2 linked regions of the Styela clava genome follow. The protein of the gene in region 2 interacts with the protein of the main gene of each other region in a biochemical or structural test. Links are inferred from orthologs where the notes say so. Each region holds a gene or a part of one and is shown on either strand. Other genes may lie near its edges.

Evidence for each region.
Region 1: the proteins of flap endonuclease 1-like (region 2) and checkpoint protein HUS1-like form a complex in vitro, tested with the Homo sapiens proteins (2 studies listed by BioGRID). The link is inferred for Styela clava from reciprocal best matches to the Homo sapiens genes FEN1 and HUS1.

The regions. Positions count from the first base shown.
Region 1 is NC_135253.1:6,347,880-6,355,651, forward strand, and holds checkpoint protein HUS1-like, read right to left. Parts: upstream 3,157-7,772; 5' UTR 3,066-3,156; coding exon 3,014-3,065; intron 2,735-3,013; coding exon 2,607-2,734; intron 2,137-2,606; coding exon 1,960-2,136; intron 1,888-1,959; coding exon 1,750-1,887; intron 1,600-1,749; coding exon 1,484-1,599; intron 785-1,483; coding exon 615-784; intron 251-614; coding exon 165-250; 3' UTR 104-164; downstream 1-103. Other genes in the region: uncharacterized protein LOC120327064, read left to right, coding at 6,165-6,167. UniProt on the Homo sapiens protein: Component of the 9-1-1 cell-cycle checkpoint response complex that plays a major role in DNA repair. The 9-1-1 complex is recruited to DNA lesion upon damage by the RAD17-replication factor C (RFC) clamp loader complex.
Region 2 is NC_135261.1:11,300,910-11,308,672, reverse strand, and holds flap endonuclease 1-like, read right to left. Parts: upstream 3,557-7,763; 5' UTR 3,497-3,556; coding exon 2,360-3,496; 3' UTR 1,118-2,359; downstream 1-1,117. Other genes in the region: uncharacterized protein LOC120330391, read right to left, coding at 1-1,083. UniProt on the Homo sapiens protein: Structure-specific nuclease with 5'-flap endonuclease and 5'-3' exonuclease activities involved in DNA replication and repair.

The sequences.
Region 1 (7,772 bases), on a different chromosome or scaffold from region 2:
CTTGCAACCATTGAATAAGAGCTTGGCATGACCTGTCTATGTTTTCTCTATGATAACTACATTTTATCCACCAATTTGGGCAACAGGAAAATTCACATACATACAAAGTTGAACAAAAAATATATATTAACAAGTTCAGAAAAACATTAACACATATTGAAGTATCATCTTGCTATGGCAGGTATGAAATATTGCAGAGATAATTCATCATGAAGAAGGAAAAATTGTACTATGGTCCCATCAACGATATCTGCAAAAAATGACATTTCATTTGTTATAGCACATGTCAAATTTGGGGAATTAAATAAATATTTAACAAAAACTGAAAACTGGCCATTGCTCAAAATAGACACAAAGGCCAAAACAAGTAGTATCAAATCTTTTACACTGCAAGTAGTCTAACCACCAAATCACTGAGATGTGACTACGGTGCACAGTTTCCAATTTTAATGAGGCCATCACACAGAAATTTTTGAAATAAATAAAAATAATAGCAACAAGCTCTCACCACCTGAAATTTTAAAACAATTCGTCGAGTAGTTGAAGAGAAAAGCAAATTTTTCACAACAACAACAAAAAGATACATAGGTCAATTCATGTCCAAAAACACTTACTGCAAATCACACGCTCTGGGTTTATAATCTGTCCTGCCAAAAACTGCAGAAATTTTTTGATATCTATTCTAGCACTGGCAAACTCATCAGGAGGCCAAGCAAGCCTGTGAGAGACACTTTGGACTTCTTCATCTTCCATGCGCACATCAGGGATATCCAGATCTTGAAAACTAAAAACATAAAAAATGTCTGCTTTTATTGTCAAAATATCGGAAACAGCACACAAATTCGAGCTCGCACTTTGTCATGTATACCACCTACTATACTAGGGCTGCAGAGTCTAGGGCAGACAGGTGTGGGCACGGTTTTTAGATTAGGGGCCAATTTGCCCACCTAGACTGGCGGGCCATGTAAGTATGAGGTAAAGAGTTTCATTTTATGAACAATGTTTACAGTGTTACAAAAGCAACAGTGGAAAACAATAAACCTCATGCCAAAACTAAATTTAACCGCAATCTCAACAAATACCTTGAGTTATATTTAACTAAAACATCAAAGTTTGGTCGTGGCAGCATCGGACGGGCCGGATTTCGCTCACGGGCCATACTTGTCTGGTCTAGGACAACCAAACTCTGACCTCACAGCACTGGACTATACTGTAGATATGTCCTGGTGTCATTTTTAGCCAATCAATATCAAACCAAATATCTTCAAACGATCTATTGATGTCTTTCGTGACAAAAATGAAATGCAAAAAATTTTCGAGTTATTGTAATAATATTATTCAATTATTGTAATAATAGTCCTTGAAATATTAATCTGATGACTACATGTCAGGACAAATGTATACAAGAAAGCAGAAAACCAGACACATGATTGGCAGTTTCGGACATGCAGATACTTTGAAATAATATGTTGAACAGCTTTACCTAGTTTTCACTGTAACAAGATCTGTGTCAACTCTCATCAACATCTCACCCTGCTGATTTGCAGCAAGAATCAAATATGAGCTGATGTTTTTCATTTTTTCCGCAATTGTCTTGACCTGATAACAATTATTTTTTTTCATACAAATTGAAGATGGCATAAAAATAATTTTAGGCCCTATAAAAACTATATATGTATAAATTAATATGCAAATTCAGGCAGGCATATTGATTAAACACACTGTTATTGGTATTTAAAACGATCTCACCATTTTCAATGGAGGCATAAATATTGTCACATGGTAGTTTGGCATATTTGGCTCTGCATAATCTCCCCACAGTCTTCTTGGTATTACTGTTACAGGAATATCATGTGTTACAGTCCGCGAGTCAGACGCTAGAGATGGCTGAAATGTTTTATTATATGGCAATTATCAATGAATAAAGCCCTTTATGTCTTAAATTCTATATATCTTTACCAATTCAACTTCTAGTGATAGACATGGACTTTGTTTCTTCGTCAGTTTGATTTTTAATGCTTTTGCAGCTTGTGCAGATTTCAGTGCTCGACTTAAATTTTCTGCTACAACCTCAAGATAGATTTCATTGCAATCCTTGTTTACTCCTTCCATCTGGTATTCATCAAAGAAGTTTTCCTAGAAAAATGCATATCGTTCAATACTCTGTATCCGGATAACTCAAGTTTGAAAAATTACTTTTTATATGAAAACAAAAATTAAGGCTTGGCGGTGTGGCGAATCGTGCTAAGCGTTAGGAATGCATTCGCACCTCTGATTACACTGCGTGTATCCGGGGATAGCTATGTGCGAAAGAATTGCTGAACTCCTCGCCGCCGTAGGGTGGTTCATGTGATCGGTTGCGGCTTCCTCCACCATCAAGTCCATGCTTCCGAAAATAAATAACTGGCTAACTAATCCCATACCCAACATGGATTGGTAACCGGACGAGAGGCCGATTAAAGAGTCTTTCCTCTACCCCGGGATAAATATGTAAATCCAAAAAGTAGAAGCTGATTGGGTGCCACTCTGACAATGATTGAGTTCCCTGAATGCTCAATTATCATTGAAATTGGCCAACACATTATATCTAATACGAAAACACATACCTGCTTGATTTCACACCACATGCTGACCCCTCCATTAGAAACCTGATCTGGTAGAATGAAATAAACTTTTTCAGAAGTGAAACGGAGGGTGCATTTCTTTAAAAGTTTGGATATTGTATTCACAACTCCTGAAATACAATGCATAAATTGAATAATTCTAACTAACACTTACTTACTCACGGTATGTTAACCATGTATGGATGTACTAGCTCTCACGGTTTTGATATTATATTATAGGGAAATATCCCTGAACCCGGTTTGAGTACGATACGGTACCGGTACCACACGCCTGACGGTACCGGTATCTAGACTAAAGTGTTAGTTTTATATAGACCTAGCCTACATAATTTGAAACTATGGGTAAATAGTTTACTTCTTTCCTTGAACAGCCTGGAAATAGTACTCACTTGTCAAGTGGTGCACACATCCGATATCAACAACTTTTGCTCGAAAACGCATCCTGTTTTAGTGACTTAAAAGCATAAGCGACTCGCAAATTCCACAATTGAACAAGCGCGGCAATGTGAATCGGGGGGATCCCCCATAAGAAAGTGTTAAGCTATTCTTAGTTGCCAGATTTTTATTGAGTTCATCCATGGAATTCTAACGATTGTTCTAATTGTCTTTGCATGAAATTCTTTATCGTGAGTTCTGTGTTGTAGGTGCAACGTAGTTCTATATAAAATGCCCGGTCATTTTTTCTTTCTTAGTTCTTCGGAAAATTGGAATGATGCGTTCCGCATCCTGAATATGTTCATAACTATAATTCGTATTGCTAAATTGTTGTTCGTGTTAGTGCAAAAATTTATATACGCATTTTTGTTAGTTTCTCCGCAGTATTTTTGCTTCTTGTGCTGATTTCCCCGAAAATAAGACCTACACTGAAAATGAGACCTAGCCTTAATTTTAAAAATGATTTTAATATAAGCCACCACCCCCTTCAAATAAGACCTGGTCAATAACGTGATTTTTTTTCGACCTACCGGTAGTTGATAGCAAGAAATTTCTCCTAAACTTTTTGAATGATTGGTAATCCATGTTTTGCAGTTATTTTGCAGTTAAAAACGTGTTATTTAAAAGTAATTTGATATCGGTTTCATATTTGAAAATCTTGTAATTCTCTACTTCATAATTTTGTTTTTGATAAATGAAAATATAAGACATCCCCCTAAAATAAGTCCTAGTGTTATTTTTCGAAAAAAATGAAATAAGACCCAGTCTTATTTTCGGGAAACACGGTAGTTATGCATATCTATCCATCTAGGGCAGTGGTTCTCAAATCTTAACCTTTTTACTTTTGTGGCCAATTTTCGCTGCCCAAAAATTCTTGTGACCCATACATTTTTGCAAGTGATAAACTAGAAAAAAAATCCAAATCTTTCTGTAAAAATGGACACTTTCACTTTAATAATTAGAAAGAAACTTATTACTCAGAAAACAATCATTGTTAGTGCAATCAAAATTATTGATAGTGACATAAATCAACTGTGGCATTTTTTAATAGTTCTGTGGTCCACCTAAAAATCTTTCCATGGCATGCTGAGTCGGTGACTTACTTGAAACAGAGAATTGTGATCTACAGCGGATAACCCATGTACTGGCATATATTTTCAAAATAAACTTAATTTGCTCCGAGTAGCCCCAAATATATTGAAACCAAAATAACAGCATTTTACAAATATATGGACAGGGTGGTGCAGTAACTAACCGCAGTATTTTTGTTGCAACAACACAAACTACTTCTTGTAATCCGTATTGAGTGATTCCATTCTCAAGCGCTTGGATTTATCTTGTTTCAATGACGTAATTACCATAAAGTTTCTTACTTACTTAGTAACCCATAACTACGTAATGGCGCAATAAAAAAAATTCTTTTCAGCTATAGGCTTTTGATAATTCATAGATACGATAGTAAAAGTGAATATATCGGAAAGAAGGAATTGAAAAAAATATATATCGCTAATCCCGCACCAAAGCAAATATTTGTAGATAAAATGTTATAGGTTCCCCATTACGATAGCTGACAAATTTTGATTGTATAAGCCTGATCCTTTAATTTAAATTACAGTTTTTTTTTTTTGAATCAATGGGTGATGAACTCCACCAATTACAAACTATGGGAACTGCTGATGGGAATATTTTTCGTTCCATAATCAGGAACTGCAATCGCTCCCGACTGGTTCCATTGAAGAAGTTTATGTAATTTCCCTTATATTGGCTTTGCCAATACGCTTGGGTGAAAAGGTTTTCAAAACGTTTGATACCAGGCATTTAAAAAAACATACTACCTTGTTTTCCCGAAAATAAAACCTAGCCTCAAATTTGAAAATGATTTTATAAGCCCTCCCCCTTAAAATAAGACATAGCGATAGTATCTTTTGACTTAGTCGATAGAAAGAAATCTCTCCCACGCGTTTTAAATGATTAATCTATGTATATGAGACGATAAGGTTCAATGAAGTTCTCAATCGATGAGACCTTTCATTGTCGACATGAAACTACAGGTGCAAAAATTCGACAAAAAATTCAATTAAATTAAATCTTCATTGGCATGCAAGACATTCCAGAGGATGGTGATATGGTTTATTTCAAATCAATCTATGTTTAGCAGTTTTTTTTTTTTTTAATAAAAACGCGTTATTTATAAGTAAAGGGATATCGGTTTCCATATTTGAAAATCTCGTTATTTTCTACTTTGTAATTTCGTTTTTAATAAATGAAATTGAAACACATCACCGAAAATGAGCCCTAGTGCTATTTTTTGGAAGATAATTGAAATACCACCCTGTCCTATATTCGGGGAAACACCGTATGCTTATTTGCTGTTGAACCGCGTAGCTGAAATTGGAGATGTTTCTGATATAATCCACCCCGAAAACAAAAAAACCAGAAATCGTTGAATGAAATAGATGTTTATCAGGGATACAAGAATTTAAGAATTGATGCACGACATTTCGCTGAATTGATACCTAGCGGTTATGAAAAAGTGATATCGCATCAAGTTATTTGTACATAACCTCAAGGTATCAATTCACCGAAATGTCAGGAGTTTTATTTTCATAAAGAGAGAAAGTAAGAAGAAAATAAAAATAGAAAGATACGATACAAGTCGAAACTCTTTTGTTTCGCAGCTAACTATCAGCTTATATTTTCGCAATATATATAGTTTCGACACTTGTGGCTTTAGTCGTCTGTGAATAAGTAGTTTCGGTAAAAACGAAGATTAACAATTTTTGCTTTTCATTTGTTGCTTCTGAAACTGAATGAGTTGAACTAAAATAGATCAACAAATTATAATATTCAACATTTACTTACAAAATGTTGAACGAATTATGCCTAACTCGAATGCGATCTTCTTCGAAACCGCTTTTGAGCAATGTGTCACGCGCACTAAGCGTAAACATGAAACGTCGACCATTACATCATCGCCTCTTCTGGGGAATTCTTCCATAAACGCCCCTTGTTGTAATTTCGAGTGAGAAACCCCCTTTTCTACAATATAAAAACCTCGATCGACTTCTCGCAAAATTTCAGTTCTACACAGTCACACAGTATAAAATGGTGAGTACTGTACTTTAAAAAATTAAATATTTATGATTTTGATATTGTCTCACCACTATCTTAGGCTAGGTTAGTTTATGGTAGGTTACGTTATTGCTGCATCCTCATCAATATTAAAAGGAAAAAAGTGGGGCAATATTAAAATCTGAAATATTCTAACTAACCTACGATAGACGACACAATCAGAAAATAAGATATAAAAGTGGTGATGCAATAACAGTGCGAGACCGCACTTTTATATTTTTTTAGTTTAAATGCCAACTCGCAATATGATCAGATATATTGAACTAATAGCTACAGGAAAGATATATTTCAGTAGGGACAAGTTTAATACCACTGGTGGTTCTGTAGTCTATCTTACCGCCCTGACTTGTAAGAAATTTTGCGAGTCAAATGAGGTCTATTTTGTTATAACGATTAGAATATATTAGTAAATCTCGTTCTCAAAATTTTAAGAAATGCCTGTAACCGCTATAGAAATCGGGTAGAAATGAAAAAAAAAAAATTATATCGAATTACATCCCAAATGCGACATGTTTAAAAGGTGTATATATTCGCATGGCATTTTTTTCCCGGACGAGAATATCCGAGGTAGATTGAGAATTAGTGAAAATGAGTTATTTATGTTTTTCTTATTGAAATCTATATCCCGCTTCTTGTTTTTGGCTTTGGCAATAATAGAATCTAATATCTATCTATATTCTATGATGACGATATTTTAATAGTAGGATTACCAAAAACGCAAAAGGCTTTTTAGATGACAATAGTATTTTTATTTCACTGAAATCAACAGCCTGCATACAGCAGATCCATTCAGAATCAAAACTAAGTTAGACTATGCCATTCTCAGGTTAGGAACTGTAAACTTAACGCTTATCAAATTCATGCAGTTCATGTAGTAAACAGGTGAAACTATACTTCGGCGACATAAAATTACTGGTAAAAATAAATTTGACGTTTGATGGGAAACACCGATATATTTTGTGTGTTGAATGTATTAAGTAAATATTAATACGTATTTGCGCAACTAGGCTACTCTTGCGCAAGTAAACGTCACAGAACAAGCGAAAGTGTTTCGTCTGTTTCTGTCTCTGACGAAATATCATACCGAGGTATTTCTTACACTCGACGTAACGCTAGACTAAACTATTATTAATAAAAACTGTGGTGTCTGTTTTACACGGACGGAAAAGGCTTTATTGCGACCTCAACCTACGCGTGTGGTCGCATCAAAGATACCTGTTGTTGGCGACATATTATAAGGTGCCAATCACTTTACTTCAGTATGTATCAGGGTGCTTCAATACGATAATCCTATTGTCTATATGTAAGGTGATAGGTAAAATAAACACCAGTGATATTTTTGTACCGTCTGGAAACTTACGAAAAATTTCTAGGTGTTATCTTTCTCGGCGGGCTTCGCATGACCGCGTGCTGTATCAATTGGGTACACTCAGCAATTTTGAAGGACAAATTATGGAAAGGGATTGTCGATCAATACACTGAAATTAGGCCTCTTATGTAAACGTAACAAGTTGTAATATCGCTAATTTATTCATAAAATGAAACTACAAAAACAAAATTCAATTTTTACACAAAATATTA
Region 2 (7,763 bases):
TATAACAGGCTTGGTTTCTTCTTTTTCATCATCACTAGATGTGTCTTCAGAACTTGAAGAATCTTCCTTTTTAGCTACAGCTGAAACATTTTTAGCATTTTTTGTTTCAACGTCTTTTTCTGATTCAGAAGATGATGAGTCAGAACTTGATGAATCTTTAGCTTTTATTGTCTTTGACACACTCATCGAGTTTTTAGAAACCTTCTCCTCTTCTTCACTGTCGCTGTCTTCTTCCGATGAAGATTCTTCCTTTTTCTGGTTCACTTTTGCTGGAGAAGTTTTTTTCTTTACTAAAAGTTTCTTTTTCGGTTCATCCTCAGAATCAGAAGATTCATCATCAGAGTCTTCACTGGAATCTGATGATTCTTTCTTTTTCACAGGTTGCTTTTTCACTACTGCAACGCTTTTTGAAGTGTTCTCCTCATCTGATGAATCTTCAGATGAGCTGGAAGATGATTCTTGTTCCCTTGTTTTCTCTAATTTACTCTTCTTTGGATCTTTCTTTCCATTCAACTCTGAAACTGTAGTTTTTACTAGATTCCCAGATGCGGATTTCTTATTTTTTTCATCGCTACTTGAATCTTCCTCTGAGCTATCCTCTTCAGAGCTAGATTCTTTTTTCTTATTATTTACAGTCGCTTTTACTTCTTTCTTTTTATCACTGTCTGATTCAGAATCATCAGAGGATGTATCCTCACTGGATTCAGAAGAATCCTCTTTCTTGGGGATAATTTTAGCCTTTTTAGCTGGAACTTTCTTCTCTTCATCGGATGATGACATATCACTTTCAGAGCTAGATGGTGGATCGGCTTTCCTTGGTCTTTTTGTAGTTTTTCCATTTGTTGTACTTGTTCCATTCGGTGTTTTTTGGTCTACTTGAGTTTCCTTCCATAATTGATATGCCTCTTTCAAAGTTGGTTGATCCGACTCTGGTAATTTAGTGTCCGTGATTTTCCGAAACTTTTTTGCCAATTTGGTCATTTTACGATCTATAAAATATTTATAAATCAATCGTTCAACGTCGCATGATTGCGCGGCCATCTTGGCAACAACTGAGCTCTTTTCAGTAGGTATATTTTTCATTGGAAAATTTTATTCTGAATTTTATTAATAAGCTGAAAAAAAAAAACAATATGCTAAGATTGTGAACAAAGCTGAAGCTAACAAAATATGATTGAGATAACTTTTTCAGAAGTGGGCAATGAAAGCATGTCTAAAACAATGTGTACAAAAACCTTATAAAAAGAGTCAATGTAATGGCAGTGAGGCAATCAAAAAGTTTGGCAAAGCACATAATAGGTTGACAACGAGATAAGCAAATGTTATGCAAGTACAGTAGAATTGAATGCTATATAAATATCAATAATGAATGATCTTTTCGAAATTCCAGTCCAACTGATAAACATTCTGAACAAAAATCTAATTTTTATTAATCTTGAGCACCATCTAGCGGAGAGAATGTATAATATGTATATTAAGTCAGCATCTGGCAATATATTTGAAAACCTTATTTTAAAAAGACCACTGAAGAAGATTTGTTGATATTATTTTTTACAGCATTCAATACAAAAATAATAAGGGTTTAAACTTCGAAGTTTAAACTTTTCATTGATCTCGAGCCAGGATATGCATATTTATTTAAAATGGAATTCTTGACAATGTATCACAAATACTACACAAACAAAAATGGATATGCTAAATTGCTAATAACAAATTATATCATTCAATGATTGTTTTGAAAGAAGATAAATGTTCATCCTGGGGTAGAGAGAACAAAAGACACAAGGCCGCTTATTTACATAAAGGCTGTGATTTGAAAAAAATCTAACTTTACGAGGAACAAGGTATGAAAAATAGTACAAAAAGAACAGTCTATTCAATAATGTGTAACAAATGAGTTGAAATGAGATTAAAACTTCAATTACATGAAGTTATAAGCAAGTTCTTTATTCAATAATATACCACTGATTTTAAATCTCATATTTCCTTATGAATGCAGCCCTAAAATGAGCATATATTCAAATTAAATGTGGCATATACCGCAAAGTTATACACAAATTAGGTGCCGAAGAGATAAGAGGTGTAGATTATTTATTCACCTGGGTATCCTGGCTTCCACAGAAATATTTTTGGAGTCCATAAGGTGGGAAAAAAATAGCAAAATAGCCGTTATTACAAAATAGGAACAAGTCTACTAACCAACAAGGTTACAAGGTAACACAAGACATTGTTCCCATAAATGAACATGTTCACTCGCTCTGTTATCTAATCAGACTCAATAAAAGTATTGATATTGATTATTCTTGAGTATCTTATGCATACACAAAAATGTTTTTGATATTGATTATTTTCTAGAAGATCATTTTCCTCGTTTGAATTCCTTTTTCACTTTCTTTGCAGGTGTATTCTTGCCCTTGGGATCAGATTTTCTTTTCACAGCTGGTGATGCTGATACTTTGACTTTGAAAAAGTCATCCAGACGGCCTTGTGTACTTTGCTTCTTACTATTCATTAACTTCTTGATTCCATTTCGAATTCTATCTTCACTGAAACCTTTTTCTTTGCACATAAACTCGATGAGTTTTTCTTCATCTGGTTCTTTCCATTTAAGTTCAATGTCATCACATGGAGAAACATCAGGTTCAATAAACAATGATCTTGCTTGAGCAAATGCCCAATCTTCTGGTACTGTGTACTTTTTCTTGTCAATATTCCCCAAAATATCTTCAATTGTTTTATGTTGTTTGATGAGGTCATAGGCACGTTTAGGTCCAATACCTCTAATGGACCCGCAATAGTCGCAACCAAGTAAAATACACAAATCAATGAATTGTTCCTGTGTAATTTCCATTTCTTGAAGCACTTTTTCTAGAGTGAATTCCTGTATTGGCATTTTTCTTGCTTCGCTGAATGTCATATGTCGTAGAAGTCTATTGGATGCAAATGTAAGAGCATCCATATCTTCTGTGGCCGTTGCATAAACTTTTCCAGCTTTTACCAAAGTAGCACATTGTGCTTCTGCTTCAGTTGGTGCAGAGACGACAGGGACTCCCATAAAAGTAAGTAACTTTTTACAATCATCCATATGCTGTTTAGTGACTTTCACGAGTCGTCTTTGAAATTTGTCAACTTCTTCTTGCTCTCCTGCCTCTGTTGCTTCCGCAAGTTTCTTCTCAGCTTCCTCTCGTCTTTCCTTTCGCTTTTCGAGCTCACCAGACTTCATCTGAGGAGGTTTACCATCGAAGACGTAAACAGGCTTTATACCATTGTCTAACATTCGAATTGTACGATAAAACAATCCTGCAAGATGGCTAGTTACTTCTCCTTCATCATTTGTTAATTGATTTCCATCTTGTCTAATTGCAATCAGAAATTGATAAATGGCCATTGAGGCGTCAATCGCAACTTTTCGACCGAAGTAATTTTTAATGCTATTTTCTCTGACAGCAGATGGGGCTTTGTCGAATATCAACTTTGAGAGACCGAGAATTCCCATTATTCTGTTGTTATAAGACAACTGGGTAAGCTAAAATCTATAAAAAAAGACATTGAAAATGCTTTAAAATGGAAGCAGATTTTTTTCAGTAATTAAAATTGCAAGAGGTCCAAATGAAATGAGGTTCATGGAAAAGTCAGAAGTTTGATTTGACCATGCTGAGAGTTGAAAGCAGTGAATAACCATCGTCAGATAGTCTGCCCCCATTGCCCCAAATTTTTTAGATTAATTGAAAACAAGATTTGCACTAAAAAGTATGTTAGTTTTTCTCTAGTCAAATAGGCATTCAAACCAGAGGTTTAAACTAATCTTTTTTGAACCTGGCTAGTAAGCCCCAGTTCTGCAGTTGCTTATCTTTGTTAAATGTCACCCATGGCAAAGAAAATGCACTAGAAATGATTGAGTTTTAATTGTATTCAATTTTAAAATTATACTATTGAAACATGTTACAATTTAATTCCCCCCTCTCCCTGTCCAAACGAGGGTAGTTATGAAGATGCTAGGTCCCATATGTCGAATAAGCCATATACCTACCCTCCAAACGATGTCCATGGCACGAGCTAAAGCTGCCGTACCAAAAATCGACAACAAAATGGTCAATGTTATGGCTACTGTCACAAGCTAAGACAGTAAGATGTCGTTTAGTAGATTATATCATATTTATTTGTTGCATAAAACAGCTCCGCATGAAGCCTGATCACTCACATAGTGCAGGAGTTATTTTTTACCTAATTTACCCAATGTTGATGAAATCTATCTTGCAAGTACAGAAGTAGCAAGTAGGTATGTTTTTAAGTCATATGCCAGGTTACATTACATGGTGAAATTGCCTTGGCTGGTAGATATCTTTATTTGACATGTCTGCATGTTCAGATGTCAAAATGTTTATTTAAACCTCAATTTTTTAGCAACTTCTTGGAAGTTACTTCCCCAAATTTCGAGCAAATTTCAGTAAGTGTGTTGTCATTTTCAACCCACCATACTGCCATAAAATGCTGAAATGACAGAATGTGAAAATTGTCAAAAAAAATAATAATTTTGATGTATTTTGCTGTGATTGATAATATCACGACTGGCATATTAATAAATGTTACGACGCCGAATTTCTAAAATAAATGGGCAAATCGAATTTTGCCGTTTACTGGTCTACTAAGCTACAGGAGTGGCAGAGTGGTGACTCCACTACGGTCCATGGGCCGGCCCCATCAGGAAAAATTCAATTATCTTACCAAAATTTTCAATTTTCACAAAATTGTCAATATTCGAACCAAAAAAATATACTCCTGTAGTATGTGTACCAGGTTAGGGTTAGGACAAAAAAAATCCGATTTTTTACATTATAGCCTAGTTCTATCATGAGTTCGGGGACTGTCTGTGTTAGCCAAGTGAGTCGCGGCCCATAGCCTGATGGGCCGAGACCCAATTCTATGGGCCATGGCCCTGGCCCATGGGCCGCAGAGGAGTCACCACTTCCACTCCTACCAAGAGTCTGAAAGTCAGTGGTTCCATATCGGTACCGGTAACGTCTAACGATATCGGCACCTATCCATCCGAAGTGAATTGTAATTACTTATTAATCCACCAAGAGTCTGGAGGTCAGTGGTTACAGAACGTCTTCTGATATCGGCACCTATCTATTGGACGTGAATTCTACTCAATAAATCTGTGCAGGACAGGTCGTTTCAAACGTCTGCGAAATTGGAATAACCTCGTGCTTGAAGCTCATTTTCTGCATTTGGTAGAACTTGCACGTAACTATGAAAAACGCAGAGCGGCATCATGTGGAAAAGCTTTTGCGACCGTGGAACATTCGCGCGAACATGAGTACGTTGGCAAGAACGTAGAGACTGTAGAACGTGGCTGGTAGAATGAAGCAAGACGCAGTCAAATCGGAGCAGTGTCGACTGTAAAAACCTCGTTTCGATTCTGAGGTAAAACTTCTACAATACCATTTCGAGTAGATACGGTACCGGACATCAAAATTAGCTGTGAAACTTAGAAAAGTAGGATAGGATTTACATATTTATTCCGGGTGATAGAAATATAGTAAATTTTTTCGGGGTTATTTAGCCTTGTCGTGGGCTGTCAAGCGTGGAGTCGGTAACTAAGTAAGATTCTGATCCACTCGATCTTCATCAGAAGCGGTGGCGCAGGGGAAGCGTAGCAACATAGTCAAACATTGAGGACAAGTCTTCGAACCAGACCGGGTAGATTGAGTCACAGGCGGTCGAGGGAAGAAAAGGCACAACGACCAATCGAGAGCGGCAGCCAAGGAGAGCAAAAGGGGGAGGTAAATGGGAACTAGTGGCAGGCAGCCATACGAGACGCAAGCCGTGAAAGAAATGTAGCAAGTTGACGATGCCAGCAGCAGACCACTAAACCGAATTAAGTATAGAGTGAGTGAAAATCGCTCCAAAGATCGAGTGGGTAAAAATATACTCAGCGATATGCAAGTGGGAGTAAAAATACAAAATAATGGAAATCAGGGAAGATCGCTGTGACGCAGCAATCGAAATCAATCAATGACGATGAGCATTACATACAAATCAATACCTAACAACACCCTGTTCAAGGAAACGGGGCAAGGCGCTCGATCAGTCGGGTAAAAACGGAGCGATAACAGCAAGATTGGAAGAGTAAATTACAACATACATATATGAGCCCGCGCAATCACAAAACTAACTAAAAAAGAAAGTTATGAGAGAAATTAGATGAATAAAAAACAAAGGCTCGGCGGTGTGGCGCATCGTGCTAAGCGTTAGGAATACGCTCGCCACCGCATCTCTGATTACCCTTCGTGGGTTCGCAGATGATCATCTGCGAGAGGATTGCTGGACTCCTCGCCGCCGTATGGTGGTTCACGTAACCGCTGGTCGGTTATGGCTTCCTCCACCATCAAGTCCATGCTTCCGAAAACAGATAACTGGCTAACTAATCCCCATACCCGACCTGGACTGGAAACCGGACGAGAGACCGTGGTTCGTCATATAATTAAGCCGCCTCGTCGGCTTTCCTTTCCCCCGGGATAAATATGTAACTCCTATACTATCCTAAAGTTCCAAAAAAGAAACCTGGATATCAAAATTAGAAAAAAATTAAAAAAGCAGCCATCCGTCAGCAGACAATAAATAAATAAAGGCTGAGAGTGAAAATGGAAATCAGGGAGGCCCAAAGAAAAAAACTTGAGATGGGAAATGAAAGAAACTAGACTGGCTGAAGCAGCAAAGATTTAAAATATAGCTGCCGAGACAAAGGAGATTAAAAATAATTGAATCACCAAAAGCAGTGAAGGAAAAATATAATCAAGCAAGCAAGTTGTGAATTGAATGAAGCAGCGGTATACCTAACCGAAAGCAGTCCAGTGAGTGGAAAATAAATAAACAGCTAAACAGAGATAATAAAAGTCAGTAAGTACCAAGCAGTCTAGCTAGGGGAAATAAATAAGGAAAACAGCAACCAATCCGCAGTCAGTCAAATAAATAAAATGGAGACAAAGTGAAAATATAAATCAGCGAGAAAATTAGGCTTGGAATCAGCGAAAATGAAATTAGGAACAAGTGAAATTTAATAAAAATCAGCGAGACCCTCAAAGCAGTCGAGGAAAAAAAGATATTTAAGATAGCAAAGGTAAAGTGAAATCAGTAGCGGGAGAAGCAAATTAGGATGGAAATGGGAGATCAGCGATAGACCCCAGGCAAAAGGAGATAAAATAAAACAGCAAATTCATTCAGGCTGGCGACCCGCTCGCGCCCGCAAGCAGTTAAAGAAAAAAAATTTGAAGTATTATCATTCATTTATGATTTTCATAACAATTCCTTGTCCAACTGCTTCGACGACATAATAACTAAAATTACTTCCAATCGAAGAAGTAGTTCCAATTTGTTCATACCTTTTATCAGTACATCTGTGAGCCAGCATGCCCTATGGCCTATGTTATACTGGGCCCAAGCTGTGGAATTCTTTCCCCTTAAATTTCCCCGCTTCATAGGACTGTCTGACAGGTTTATCGTATTAGGCGCAGTCTTTTTTATAGCTAGACGGATTTCAACATCAGGACGGTTTATAAATTTTGTTTTTGTGGTAATAAAGATTGGCTTTTGCTCCGACAGAAACCCGAACTTAGTCAATGTGCGTCCCTGTCAAATCTAACTCGCTTGCAGTTGGCAGCAAAGAAACCGATGCCAACGTCTTTCACCGGGAGTAATTTTTGTCGCGGTATTTTGGAGTTCAGATGGACGTAATGATTTATTGCTCATTACATGCGAGC